3 linked regions of the Mus musculus genome follow. The protein of the gene in region 1 interacts with the protein of each later gene in a pairwise test. Links are inferred from orthologs where the notes say so. Each region holds a gene or a part of one and is shown on either strand. Other genes may lie near its edges.

The links. The genes of interacting proteins can lie anywhere in the genome.
Region 2: the proteins of Sp4 (region 1) and Nrf1 interact in binary tests that used the Homo sapiens proteins (3 or more experiments, as listed by UniProt). The two-hybrid records come from large-scale screens. The link is inferred for Mus musculus from reciprocal best matches to the Homo sapiens genes SP4 and NRF1.
Region 3: the proteins of Sp4 (region 1) and Pou2f1 interact in binary tests that used the Homo sapiens proteins (3 or more experiments, as listed by UniProt). The two-hybrid records come from large-scale screens. The link is inferred for Mus musculus from reciprocal best matches to the Homo sapiens genes SP4 and POU2F1.

What each region holds. Positions count from the first base shown.
Region 1 is NC_000078.6:118,298,639-118,302,876, forward strand, and holds the start of Sp4 (transcription factor Sp4), read right to left. Parts: upstream 2,803-4,238; 5' UTR 2,596-2,802; coding exon 2,589-2,595; intron 2,171-2,588; coding exon 2,061-2,170; intron 1,555-2,060; coding exon 1-1,554. UniProt on the Homo sapiens protein: Binds to GT and GC boxes promoters elements. Probable transcriptional activator.
Region 2 is NC_000072.6:30,113,986-30,117,502, reverse strand, and holds part of Nrf1 (nuclear respiratory factor 1), read right to left. Parts: intron 2,491-3,517; coding exon 2,332-2,490; intron 1,408-2,331; coding exon 1,210-1,407; intron 448-1,209; coding exon 346-447; intron 1-345. UniProt on the Homo sapiens protein: Transcription factor that activates the expression of the EIF2S1 (EIF2-alpha) gene. Links the transcriptional modulation of key metabolic genes to cellular growth and development.
Region 3 is NC_000067.6:165,908,620-165,912,136, reverse strand, and holds part of Pou2f1 (POU domain, class 2, transcription factor 1), read left to right. Parts: intron 1-660; coding exon 661-849; intron 850-3,130; coding exon 3,131-3,257; intron 3,258-3,517. UniProt on the Homo sapiens protein: Transcription factor that binds to the octamer motif (5'-ATTTGCAT-3') and activates the promoters of the genes for some small nuclear RNAs (snRNA) and of genes such as those for histone H2B and immunoglobulins.

The DNA of each region.
Region 1 (4,238 bases):
TGCAACACTAGTGATTGTTACTGGAACTCCCTGAACTTGAACACCCGCAGCACCCAGGTTGGCAACGCTCACTGTCTGAAGGTTAGGCACTGATGCAAGCTGGGCAGTATTCAAAGTTATTGGGGCACCAGCAACAGCCACAGGAGCAATCTGAGCAAGAGTTGTGCCACCACTTGAAGACACTGGGGTGATGGTTAACTGCTGGGATAACCCAGCATTCTGAACTTGCAAATTTGAAAGACTTTGAATATTCTGGACCTGGACAGTTTGCCAGCTGATTTGCCCTGAAGGTGTTAAAGTTGGAGCCCTGATAAGTACCTGAGTCGGGTTTACTGCTTGAAGTTGAACATTCTGCAAAGGCTGCTGCTGGATGGTCTGAATTGTCTGCCCTGACTGGAGCTGAAATGACTGTGGTGGGATAGCTTGAATAATCTGCTGCTGAGGCTGCTGGATCTGGATTTGCTGCAGGATAGGCTGGCCTACAATCTGTACTTGTTGAAGGGAATTTGACTGGTCTTGTGCATTCTGAATTCCGTTGGACTGAAGCTGGCTGGAGCTCTGGGCTTCAGACTCAGTAGCAGCAGGTGTCTGTGGTTCTTCAATGGTGCGTTCAGAACTACTGGCTGATGTGCTTGCATACTGGCCTGTATCTGCTGAGCTCACTAATGTGTCACTGCTCGTCAGAGTTGTTGATGCGGTGGTTGTGCAGGTAGTAGAGGAGGAGGGCGATTCAGGCATAGTACTGGCGGGAGCAGTGCTGGTGGTGGGCGTAGAAACTAACTGATTCCCATTGGAAGTCCCACTGTCAGTAGTAGTAGTAGGCTGGCCGACTTGTCCAGTCCCTCCTCCAGCAGTCACGTTATTTATTACTGGCAAAGCTAAAGTCACTCCTCCAATGTTAATTGGTAGGGTTGTTACAACTTGAGCCTGAGTACCAGGAAGGGTCTGCAATTGCAATGGTATTGAAACGCCAGGTCTAATTTGTACTGGAACTGTCTGATTTGCCAGGTTTTGAGCAAGGATATTCCCAGAAGCTGTCCTGTTAGCAGCCGTGAGGATAGCTTGATTATTACCTGCAGAAATGAGCTGAATTTGACCCTGCAAATCCTGTAGAGATGAACTACTAGTTGGGTTGATTTGAATTTGCTGGCCTTCCACCGTCTGAAGTTGGGGGATCACTTGGTACTGTACACTACCGCTTGGGTTTTGTACTTGTATGACTTGAAATTGATTAGGGGTGGAAGGATTACCTGATTTAGTTTTTGTAGGAGAGGAACTCCCGTTATTACTGCTGGAAGAACTAGATGAACTAGAAGCTGGCTGAGAAACGTTATTTTCTTTTGAAGCAGGAGGAGTGGAGGCAACAAGTTGCCAAGCGTTTCCAGCAAGCTGCGTCGTCACCAGTTCTAGCTGCTGTGGCTGATTCTGAAGTTGCACCAATCCTTGGCTTGGATCTATAATAATCTGCTGTTGTCCAGTTGCTTGATTTTCACCAGGAGTCCCTATTTTGCTGCAAGTAGCTGCCAGTAAAGCCAGAGGAGAGGGCTGAGAGTCCTACCCAAAATGGGAGGGGAAAGGAGAGGGAGGGGAAAAAAGTGGGCGGATTTAGTGGAAGACAGCAGTCGGGAGGGGGTTATTTATTTTGAGAGCTCTAAGTATCAGAACACACTCAATAGGCAGCAGAATTAAAAAGGAAATATGAACAAAAGCAGGTGATAGAAGCTATATGAATAAAAAGGCAAGTCCTATTACATAAAGTTTAAATAAAAAGGAATTTTCTGGTAAACTTTCTTAAAGTGTTATTCTTCTAAACTCAAAATGCCCTTGGGAAAATAGACACCTTCTTCTAACAGTCTGAATTCCTGGTGTAATATAAACATCGTTATAGCCTCAACGATGGGAAATCTTCAAGAATTTACGATTTAAGTTCCTCACTCAGAAAGATGCTTTGAATGGATAAACATTTTTATTCTGTTCTTTACTTCTGGGTACTTAAAGAGCATAACTCCCTCTCTTCCCTAAAGCTTTGTGTTGAATTTTCTTTTAACGTTTGCTTTTACCTGGGAGCCTGAGGTTTTGGGTTTTTTATTGTTATTCTCTGGCTCAGAGGTTTTCCCTCCTTCTGTAGCCATCGCCGCTGCCGCCTCCTCCTCCTCCTCCTTCTTCTGATCTGCAACAACCCCCCACCACCACCAACACACACGACAACAGGTTATTAGGATTATTATTATTCGTTCTCCTCCCTTCTTCCCCCTCCCTCCTCTTGAACATTAATCTCCGTAAACCCGCGATCCGTGCACACCGGCAGGGGGTGGGGGAGAAGGAGGGTAGGGAGGAGGGGGCTCTCACGAAACGTGGTTTGAAACCCGACCCATAGGCTCCAGAGCAACACCCAGAAGGAGGTTGTTCTAGCTCAGACATTAAGACAAAACACAGCCCTCCTTCCCTCCCCCTGGTTCCCTCCCGCCCTCTCCTCCTCCCCTTCCAGCATCTCGGCGGCCCCGGGGGAGGGGGAAGCGAGCAGGGTCTGGGGAGGGAGGGACGAAGGGAGGCGGTGAAGGAGACCGAGGGGGGTGGAGAATACGTACCGCTCATCCCGCATTAACAGGACAAACCCTCTCAGAGACACTGGGATAGAGGTGGGTGGGGGTGGGGGCGAGGCGGGAGGAGAGGCCGGTCCCGCCCGCCCGCGGTGGCTCGGAGGAGGCTGTAGCTGGCACAGGCTCTGCCTCTTTTTCCGCGAATGGCCGCCGCTGGGCTGTGGCGTAGCAGCTCCTCTCTCCGCCCGAGCCCGGCTGACTCGCCCTTGATTGACAGCGGCGGCGCGCGGCGAGGGCGGCGGCGCGGGCCGGGGGGCGGAGCCAGGGCGGCGCGAGCGCGGCGACTCCCCACCCCCCTCGGCCTGCCTCCGCCGGCGCCGCCGACTCTCCACCCCTTCCCCCAGCGGATTGGCCGCCGACCTGCCGGGGCCGGGGCGCTGGGGCCGCCCTTTCTCCTCCCCTTTGCCCGGCTGGTGCTCGCTGCTGTTCGGCTTCTGCCTTCCCGGCCCGCGGAGCGTGCCCTCTCGGTGAGCTAGCTGCGGTTTGCTGCCGGCAGGCCCTCCATACAGCCAAACTTGTTGTCTCAGGATATCCCGCCCCCTACTCAGTTCCCGGCGCCCTCCACTCAAAAGCGCGCCGCAGCATCCTGCGAGGGGCCGCGGAAGGAAGACATGGAGCTAGGCTTAAGGGAGAGGAGCGGGGCGAGCGCGGGGAAGCGTGAGCTCCCTGCGATCCCGTGGTCTGAGTGGACTGCCAGCTGCCCCCTCGGCGTGAGCATGGCTTTTCCTAAGGCGCATCCGGACCCGGGCGCCCTTTTTCCCTGGCTCGGCTCTCATTGGATGAGGCCGCTGACGCACAGTGAGTCGTGGGAGGAGGCGGGCGGGCCTCTCCCGCAAAGGCTTTCGGGCCTCGTAGTTTTTGACGGCTATTCCGATTGAGGCACCGCCTTCCTCCCGCCCCCGAACGCGGCCTGGCTGCGGAGCCTAGAGCTGCCCGAGGGGGCGGTGGCAGCAGGGCGTGGCCGGGGCCGAGTGGGAGTTGAACCCCGCGCGGGGGGGAGGGAGAAATGGGTGTTGTTTGCCTGGGCCTATCGGCCGAGTGGGGCTGCCCGAACCGCCTCTGCCACCGCCCCCTCAGCTGAAAGCCGCTCCCCGCGGGGCGAGCTCACACCCGGAGCGCGCGGCGATTGAGCGGACCGAGGTGTTGGGAGGCGGGGTCTGGTGTCCTCGGGGTTTGAATGAAGCTGACTTGGGGTACATCCCCTTCGCCCTGCTTTCTTTGCTCACCTAGCTTGCCGGGGCCTCCGGTCTCAGCGCGAGGCCTGTGTTCCCACCGAGCAGGAGCTTCCATTTTATTTGTCGTATCTCTGGCTGGCTGCTGGTGCAGATTAGTGACTTGTCTTCTAGGGTGGCCACGAGTGCGCCTTAGAGTCTGCGTTCTTGGCGCGCTTCTCGCTCCTAGAGGTCTCACAAGGTTGTCCGGGCAAAGGAAAGCCTGGCTGCATGTGGGTCAGCTCTGGTCATGGTTTTAGCGTAAGCTTCTAGGCAAGTGGAATTCACAGCTAGCTGCGCAAAGCACTTTGTCAAATGCTCCTGAACCGGCCCCTAGCTTCTCTCCAAAGACATGAAATCAAGATACCAGGGACCGACCATATGAGCGACTGATGAAGTGTACCAAAGCTGGAAATAAGTCCCTAAA
Region 2 (3,517 bases), on another chromosome or scaffold:
ACCTTTTTGCAACTATGGAGATTGCCTATACTAAGCATTGGAGCCCTCAAATGGCCTTTCTTGTAAAAATATGAAAGAGAAAATCCCTTTATTATGTTTTATATTAAATACTATATTACAAATGTGAAATTCTAAGTTTCTAACAGGTTGGTTTGGGCAGTAGTGATCCATGAATTTTAATTATTACAATTAACACAATATTAGATACTTCTCCAAATTGTCATGGTTGGATAAATACTAAAAGTTTCACATATTGCAAGGCTGCTCCTTCGTCTTCTGGGCCTGACTTCTTCCTACTCATTCATGCACTACTCCAGTAGGGAAATACAGAAACCCTTTTCTTACCTCTCCATCAGCCACAGCAGAGTAATTCACTTGGGCAACAGTGACTGTGGTTGGCAGTTCTGAAGCATCAGCCAATGTGGCTACTGTTGCCCCTGTACCAACCTAGGAAACACAGGAAGTTAAATGCCAGTAGACAGACCTTCTACCTAGCCCTCACACATAAGCTAAGACTCGCTGAGCCCCAAATTCTGCATAATATGCCTCCTGACAGGAAGAGAATGACTAAATCAGCTCTCAGAGACTAGCGTGAACCAATATTAGAAGAATAACTGCATTCCACTCTGGAGTTTGGTGCCAGTCAACCAACACTCTACACTCTAACCCCAACCTGAACTTTAGAGATTCCTCATCTGTCAATAAACAGTGTTCCACCTTAGAAAAGGTATTTCTCTGGCAGGTACACACCTATCTGTCTTTCTCCCTTCCTCCTTCCTCCAAAATCCTCCTCTCTGTTTCTCTCTCCAGATGATGGGGATTGAAGGTGATGGTCTTCTACATGATAGGCGAGCATTCTACTATTTAATTGGACCCTAACCCAAGAAACAATTTTCAGGTGCTTTGTTTGGAAATGTTCCAGAAGCTACTTATAGCTCTGAATTAAATAAAGCACATGCAATGTAAAATATGGTTCAAAGGCTGGAGATAAGATGTGGCCATGTGGGTGAGGACTTTCCCATTCCAAGCAGCACAAGAAAATGAAATAAAAAATAAATGAAACTGTTTGGAAGCGACTGCTAGGCAGGAAGAGCGAGAGCGAGAGCAGCTGTTAGGATGTGCAGAGAAGAGAGCATGAACACAGGAAACTTCTCCATTAGAGGTGAGATAGCACCGAGCCACCTCCCCTGAGACATCAGGCTTACATACCTGGATGAGCGACACGGTGCCATCAGGGTTGCTGAAGGTCTGTACTACGGTCTGTGATGGTACGAGATGAGCTATACTGTGTGTGGTGGTGGCCTGAGTTTGTGTTTGCTGATCTTCAAAAGCATATAAAAGATCCTCCCGCCCATGTTGCTTATAGCAATTTTTAACTATGGTCCGTAATGCCTGGGTCCATGAAACCTGTCATCAAAACAACAGGAAAGCATAATAAGCCACAAAGAAATTGGGGATTTATGCCACCACAGGAGAATCAGGCATGTATTTATCAAACCTCGTATAGAGTTAGTTTTTTAGGACTTCCCACAGAATTATTCTGGAGCAAAGCAACTGATGGTTTTCTGTCCTTCCTTCCTAACCAAGTTCGGATTTTGCTTTTGTGTCCTATTCCAAACTGAGGCCAAACTCTCCAATTTCTCATAAGAGGTAACACTCTGATCAAGAAGTATGTATTATGTCTCTTTGTATGTATGTATATTATCTGGGTGTGTCTGTGTGAGTGTATCCTACATGTGTGACGGTGCCCATGGCAGCCAGAAGAGAGTTGGATCCCTGTAACTAGAGTTACGTGTGGTTGTAAGTCACCCGACATGAGTGCTGGGAATTGAACTCAGGTCTTCTGCAAAAACAGCAAGCTGTCTTAACCACTCAACTAACTCTCTAGTGATTTGTTTTGTTTGTCTGTTTTTTGTTTTCAGGTAGGTTTGGTCTAGAACTCATTATGTTGTCCAGGCTGGCCTCAAACTAGAGATTCCATGCGCTGGCCTGCTGAGTGCTAGCATTACAGAATGTGCCACCAAACCGCTCAACAGTAGTTCTTGCTAATCAGAAGCAAGGCTATTTCTAAGCTTTCAAATGATTCTTACTTCCAAGTTTCTCTGGTTTAAAGCTTTTACAAAAGACATCTATGAAGAAACAAAGTATAAATCCACAGCCTTTCCAAATCTTTCTGTGTACAGTAATAAACAAGAAGGACTGTATATCAGAGAACAACCGACTTTTTTGGAGGAAGAGGCCTGACTGTTATGAAATGGTATGAAACTTGTACCAACAGAAACTGAGGCGGGTGACCCAGCATGGCAAACTAATGAGGACTGAGGAATGTACCCTTTGTTTTTGCTCTTCTGTGCGGACATCACTGCGGACATTGGCCCATGGGATATCTTCTGGCCACCAGATAGGCTTGCAGCTTTCTTTCCCCCAGCCTGGTTTCCCCCGACCTGTGGAATACTTGAGCATCTCTGGGATAAATGCCCGAAGCTGAGCCTGAAAGACAAGAGCATGGTCATCATAGTGATCTCATGACCAACACATGGGATGTGCACCTGGACTCCACACCCCTAAGACCAACAAGCAGGGAGCACCCCTAAAAGTCCAGAAAGTTCCAAATGGGACTGCCGAGAGCTCACTGCTTCCTACAGTTACTTCTGCCCCATGGCCAACTAAAGGAGGGCACTCCTGATGATTATAGGAGCTACATTTTGTAGGCTTGTTCTTAAAAGGACAACAATGCCTATCTCCAAACATGATTTGTGCCTCCAGAGACACTACTACACTAAGGGCTGATTTTCCTTCTATAACTTCCATGAGTTAAGGGTCCACGTCAAGGTGCTGCTAACACTGTTTTGGAGGTGGTACTCAAGTAGACTAGATGTGAGTAGCAGGTTGAACCACTGTTATCTGGAACCAAGATGACTGGAGCAGGACCTCCAGAGAAGCAGGCGAAAAATACCACAATCACTAAAAGGTGGATTATATCCATGAAGAGGTAGATGTGTATAAGATGTTAAAAGAAATTGCTTTTCCATTTAGTAAGGTGAAACTAACCCAAGAGTTATTCCAAGTTCCTTGGAAGCAGCAGTAAGAGGCTTGGATGCAGATGGAGCAACATCTATATGAAATACATTATGGACTTCACTCAGCTTGATTTTGGGAAGCTAACTGAAGCCAAACCAGGCTTAAACCACAGTCAGCTGACATACTGACTCACATTTCCTGGCACAGGAACCAGTGTACGCATGTAGGAAGACAGTAGGTCTGTGGAGTGAATATTCTTCAGCACGTTTGATGATTTGGGGCAAGAAAAGCAGTTTATCAAGTTTAAACCTTAGATCATGTACCTATCAAGAACACATCTGTGCTGCCTTTGCACTGTAAAACCAGAGGGAGAGGAACATTTTGAGCAAGGAGTTGGAATCAAGGACTTGGCGATGGCTGTAACTAAACGGTAAAGCAAAAATGCTAGGGGATACTTAAGGATTAAGCTGCAGTGAATGAGTATGCCAACACTTTA
Region 3 (3,517 bases), on another chromosome or scaffold:
TTATGTTTGTTCTAAATACATTTCTTGCTTTATTGTTAGGGTTTGGGTTTTGGTGATTAGTGTCTAGGATAGATAGATAGATGGGCACTTGGAATTCCAGGTTCATGTACCTTGAAGACTATTAATTCTGGGTGTTTAGATTCATTTGTGTTTAAGAGGGTGGCTCTTACCACCTGTTTCCTAGAGATAATAAGTTGGAAAAAAATGTAAACTTGCAAACCAATGCTTTTCAAGGGCAGGAGATTGGGTAAGGGAGGGTCCTGGAGGAGGATTTTTAAAGGAAACAAGTGTGGCTCCTGATTTTTAGTCACATGTGAAGATGTGATGGAAGTAGTGAAATACGATGGGGATTCAAGCAGCTGGGCCTTACCAGTTCTCTTCCTGCACCTGCCAGCATCCTTTTGTCCCTCATTCATCACCTGCTGTTGGATATAAATGTCTTTGCATCCTGTCAGCATCAGTCCTTTGTTTTCATTCCTTGTCTAAATGATTGTTCAAGTCTGAAGTGCAGACTACTTTAAGTTAAATGCTGTGGTAGAACAGGTAGTTTGTTCATTGGTGGACAGGTTAGCTGTACATTGACCAGTAGTGAGAACCTAATCCCACTTGAGTTACCTATTTAAAGGCACTCAATCTTTCCCTTCATTGTTCTTACTCTAGCTCACGTTGACCCCAGCCCAGCAACAGTTACTGCTACAGCAGGCGCAGGCCCAGGCCCAGCTCCTGGCCGCTGCAGTGCAGCAACACTCCGCCAGCCAACAGCACAGTGCTGCTGGGGCCACCATCTCAGCCTCCGCCGCCACACCCATGACGCAGATCCCCCTGTCTCAGCCCATACAGATTGCACAGGTGAGGAAGGGAAGAGCAAGGTTACTGGGACAGCAAACAGCCAATAAAATGGGAAATTCTCTTCCATATTGTTAGCCTTCTGGTTGCTGCTGTGGGTCTTTAAACACCCAAGGAACTCTGGTTCAAGGTGGCATTATCGCTTCTTCCCTTTTGCTTATTTGAGTTGATATTATAAACATCTAGCTGGTTATTTGAATAAGTGAATGTTTATGTTAAATGAAATTCTTGAGTAAGTAGCTGGCATATTTCTGAGGCAAGGGGTTTCAGTATTCATCTTAATTCATCTTATTAGCCAATCATAGCAGGCAAAAATTCTTCCATGTGCTCTATAGTAAGTGTTGCCACCTTGTAAAAAAAGACAGCAAGTCATCTTTCTGCTGTGGAGTGACTAGGACCATGGAGAACTGCATTAAAATGTTACAGGGTTTCAGTTTTTACGTTTTCAAATAAAATATCCAAAGGTAGTTTAAAAATTACTTAGAGTCATAAAGAATTATAACAAAAGAGAAAATATGTGACCTTGTTTCTCTCAAGGGAGGGACAGGGAGCCTGAGAAGTTGATGTAGCAGAAGCAGGGTAACAGTCTAAGCAGAGTAACTCCTCCTTCTGTCCCCAGGGAGGGGGTGCTGAAGGTGTGACACAGTTTGACGAGATACTTGAAATAGACTCAGACTGATTTTTATTATTACTGTGTGGACATCTGTATCAAGATAGTGTTTTGATTTGGGCCATTTTCTTCATCAAATAAATTATGTTAGTGCCTAAACTTTGAGACTTTACCTGAAATTAATATAAATAGAATGATTTATATGAAGGCATTGAAAAATGTAAGATACTAGAGCCAATATAAAGCTGTATTGTTTTGTTATATCTGACTTTTATGTGAATTTTTAAAATAACTTAACATCAATTCCTAAATTGAATTGGATAAGCTGGTGTCAAATTTCAGGAATCAAATCTTTTATTTTATTGATGGAAATTTTGTTATATCACTCAATTTTTACTTTAGAAAAAAAAATGGAAGCCAGGTGGCACACGCCTTTAATCCCAGCACTTGGGAGGCAGAGACAGGCGGATTTCTGAGTTTGAGGCCAGCCTGGTCTACAGAGTGAGTTCCAGGGCAGCCAGGGCTACACAGAGAAACCCTGTCTTGAAAAAATAAACAAAAACAAAATAAAAAACAAAATAAAAAAAAATGGGTCAAATATTCAAATCCCTTTTTCCTCACTTAATTTTTCAGGAACATTTAGTCTTTGTTTAGATCAGAGCTAAATGAACAGAACTTATAGAATGAATGCATATTAATTTATTAGCATTTATTAGAGTAGTTTACAGGCTATGGTCTGGCTAGTCCAATGATGGTGGTCTTTCAGTTCATGCAGCTGGATGTCTTAGCTAGTCTTTATTCCGTCTTGAACTCTTCTATTACCAGCAGAGGAATTCCTCAGCAACAGGATAGATGAATATAACCAGAGGGAAAGAGCACAGAGACAGGAAGCAAAAGGGTCCTTCTTCCCTGTTCCTTTATGTGGGCTATCAGCAGAAGGCACAGGCCAGATTGAGCATGGGTCTTCCCAGCTCAGATGAGCCGATCAAGAAGAGCTCTCAGAGGCATGCACAGATGCTCGCATTTTAGTTGATGCCAGAGGCGGGCAGGTTGCCATCCAAGGTTACCTATCTCAGTGGTGGCAGGTGGAAGTAGAGAGTTAACTCCAGACTTGTCTTCTGATCTCCACATGCATGTGTGGCTTACACAAACCTCATCACACACTAATAACAATAAAACTAAAATTGAAAACTGCCTCCCCCAGAACATTTATTCTCTATTCATTTATTCTGAAAGTATTTTAGGTAACCATTGAAAATTGGGCTTAACACAATCATGATTCTATATAATATACATCATAACCTCAAAAATAACTTCTTGCAGAGGCCCTAAGTTTTTTCAGTTTTGTTTTTGATAATTGCTGTTTGTGTGTGTAAATCAAAACAATTCTCAGGAGTCAGTTCTCTCCTTCCACCGTGGGTCTGAAGATCACACTTAGGTCTTCAGTCTTGCACAGCGAGCACTCCTACCTACTGAGCCTTCTCTGGCCTGAGGCCTGAGCATTTCTCACACACTGACACTGTTGGAAGCCACACTGTTGGGACATGAAAAAAAGCTGAGTATTGTCTCATTGTTATTTGATGTGACACAAGTCTTTGCCTAGGAACCTTACGACTAATCCAGCTTTCATTTCAGGATCTCTCTCTAATCTGTGTTTTGCTTCTGAGCCTTTAGGATCTTCAACAATTGCAACAGCTTCAGCAGCAAAATCTCAACTTGCAACAGTTTGTGTTGGTGCACCCAACCACCAACCTGCAACCAGCACAGTTTATCATCTCACAGACCCCCCAGGGCCAGCAGGGTAAGCGTCTCTCTAAAGCTCCTCAGTGGTGCAACAGGGCTGTGCACTTTGACCTAACAGTGTCCATTCGAGCAGTGCTTTCATTCAGTGTGGTTTCAAACTACCAGTATTGATGAGAACTATAACAGTGCCTTAAATCAGGAACATGGTTACATATAAGAATAAAAGACCTGAAAAACCAGTAAAGGCTAGCTTACTAAAGGAAATTTCCAGGACTTTAACCTGAAATCATGCAACTTAATTGTTTCCAAGGCTCAGTT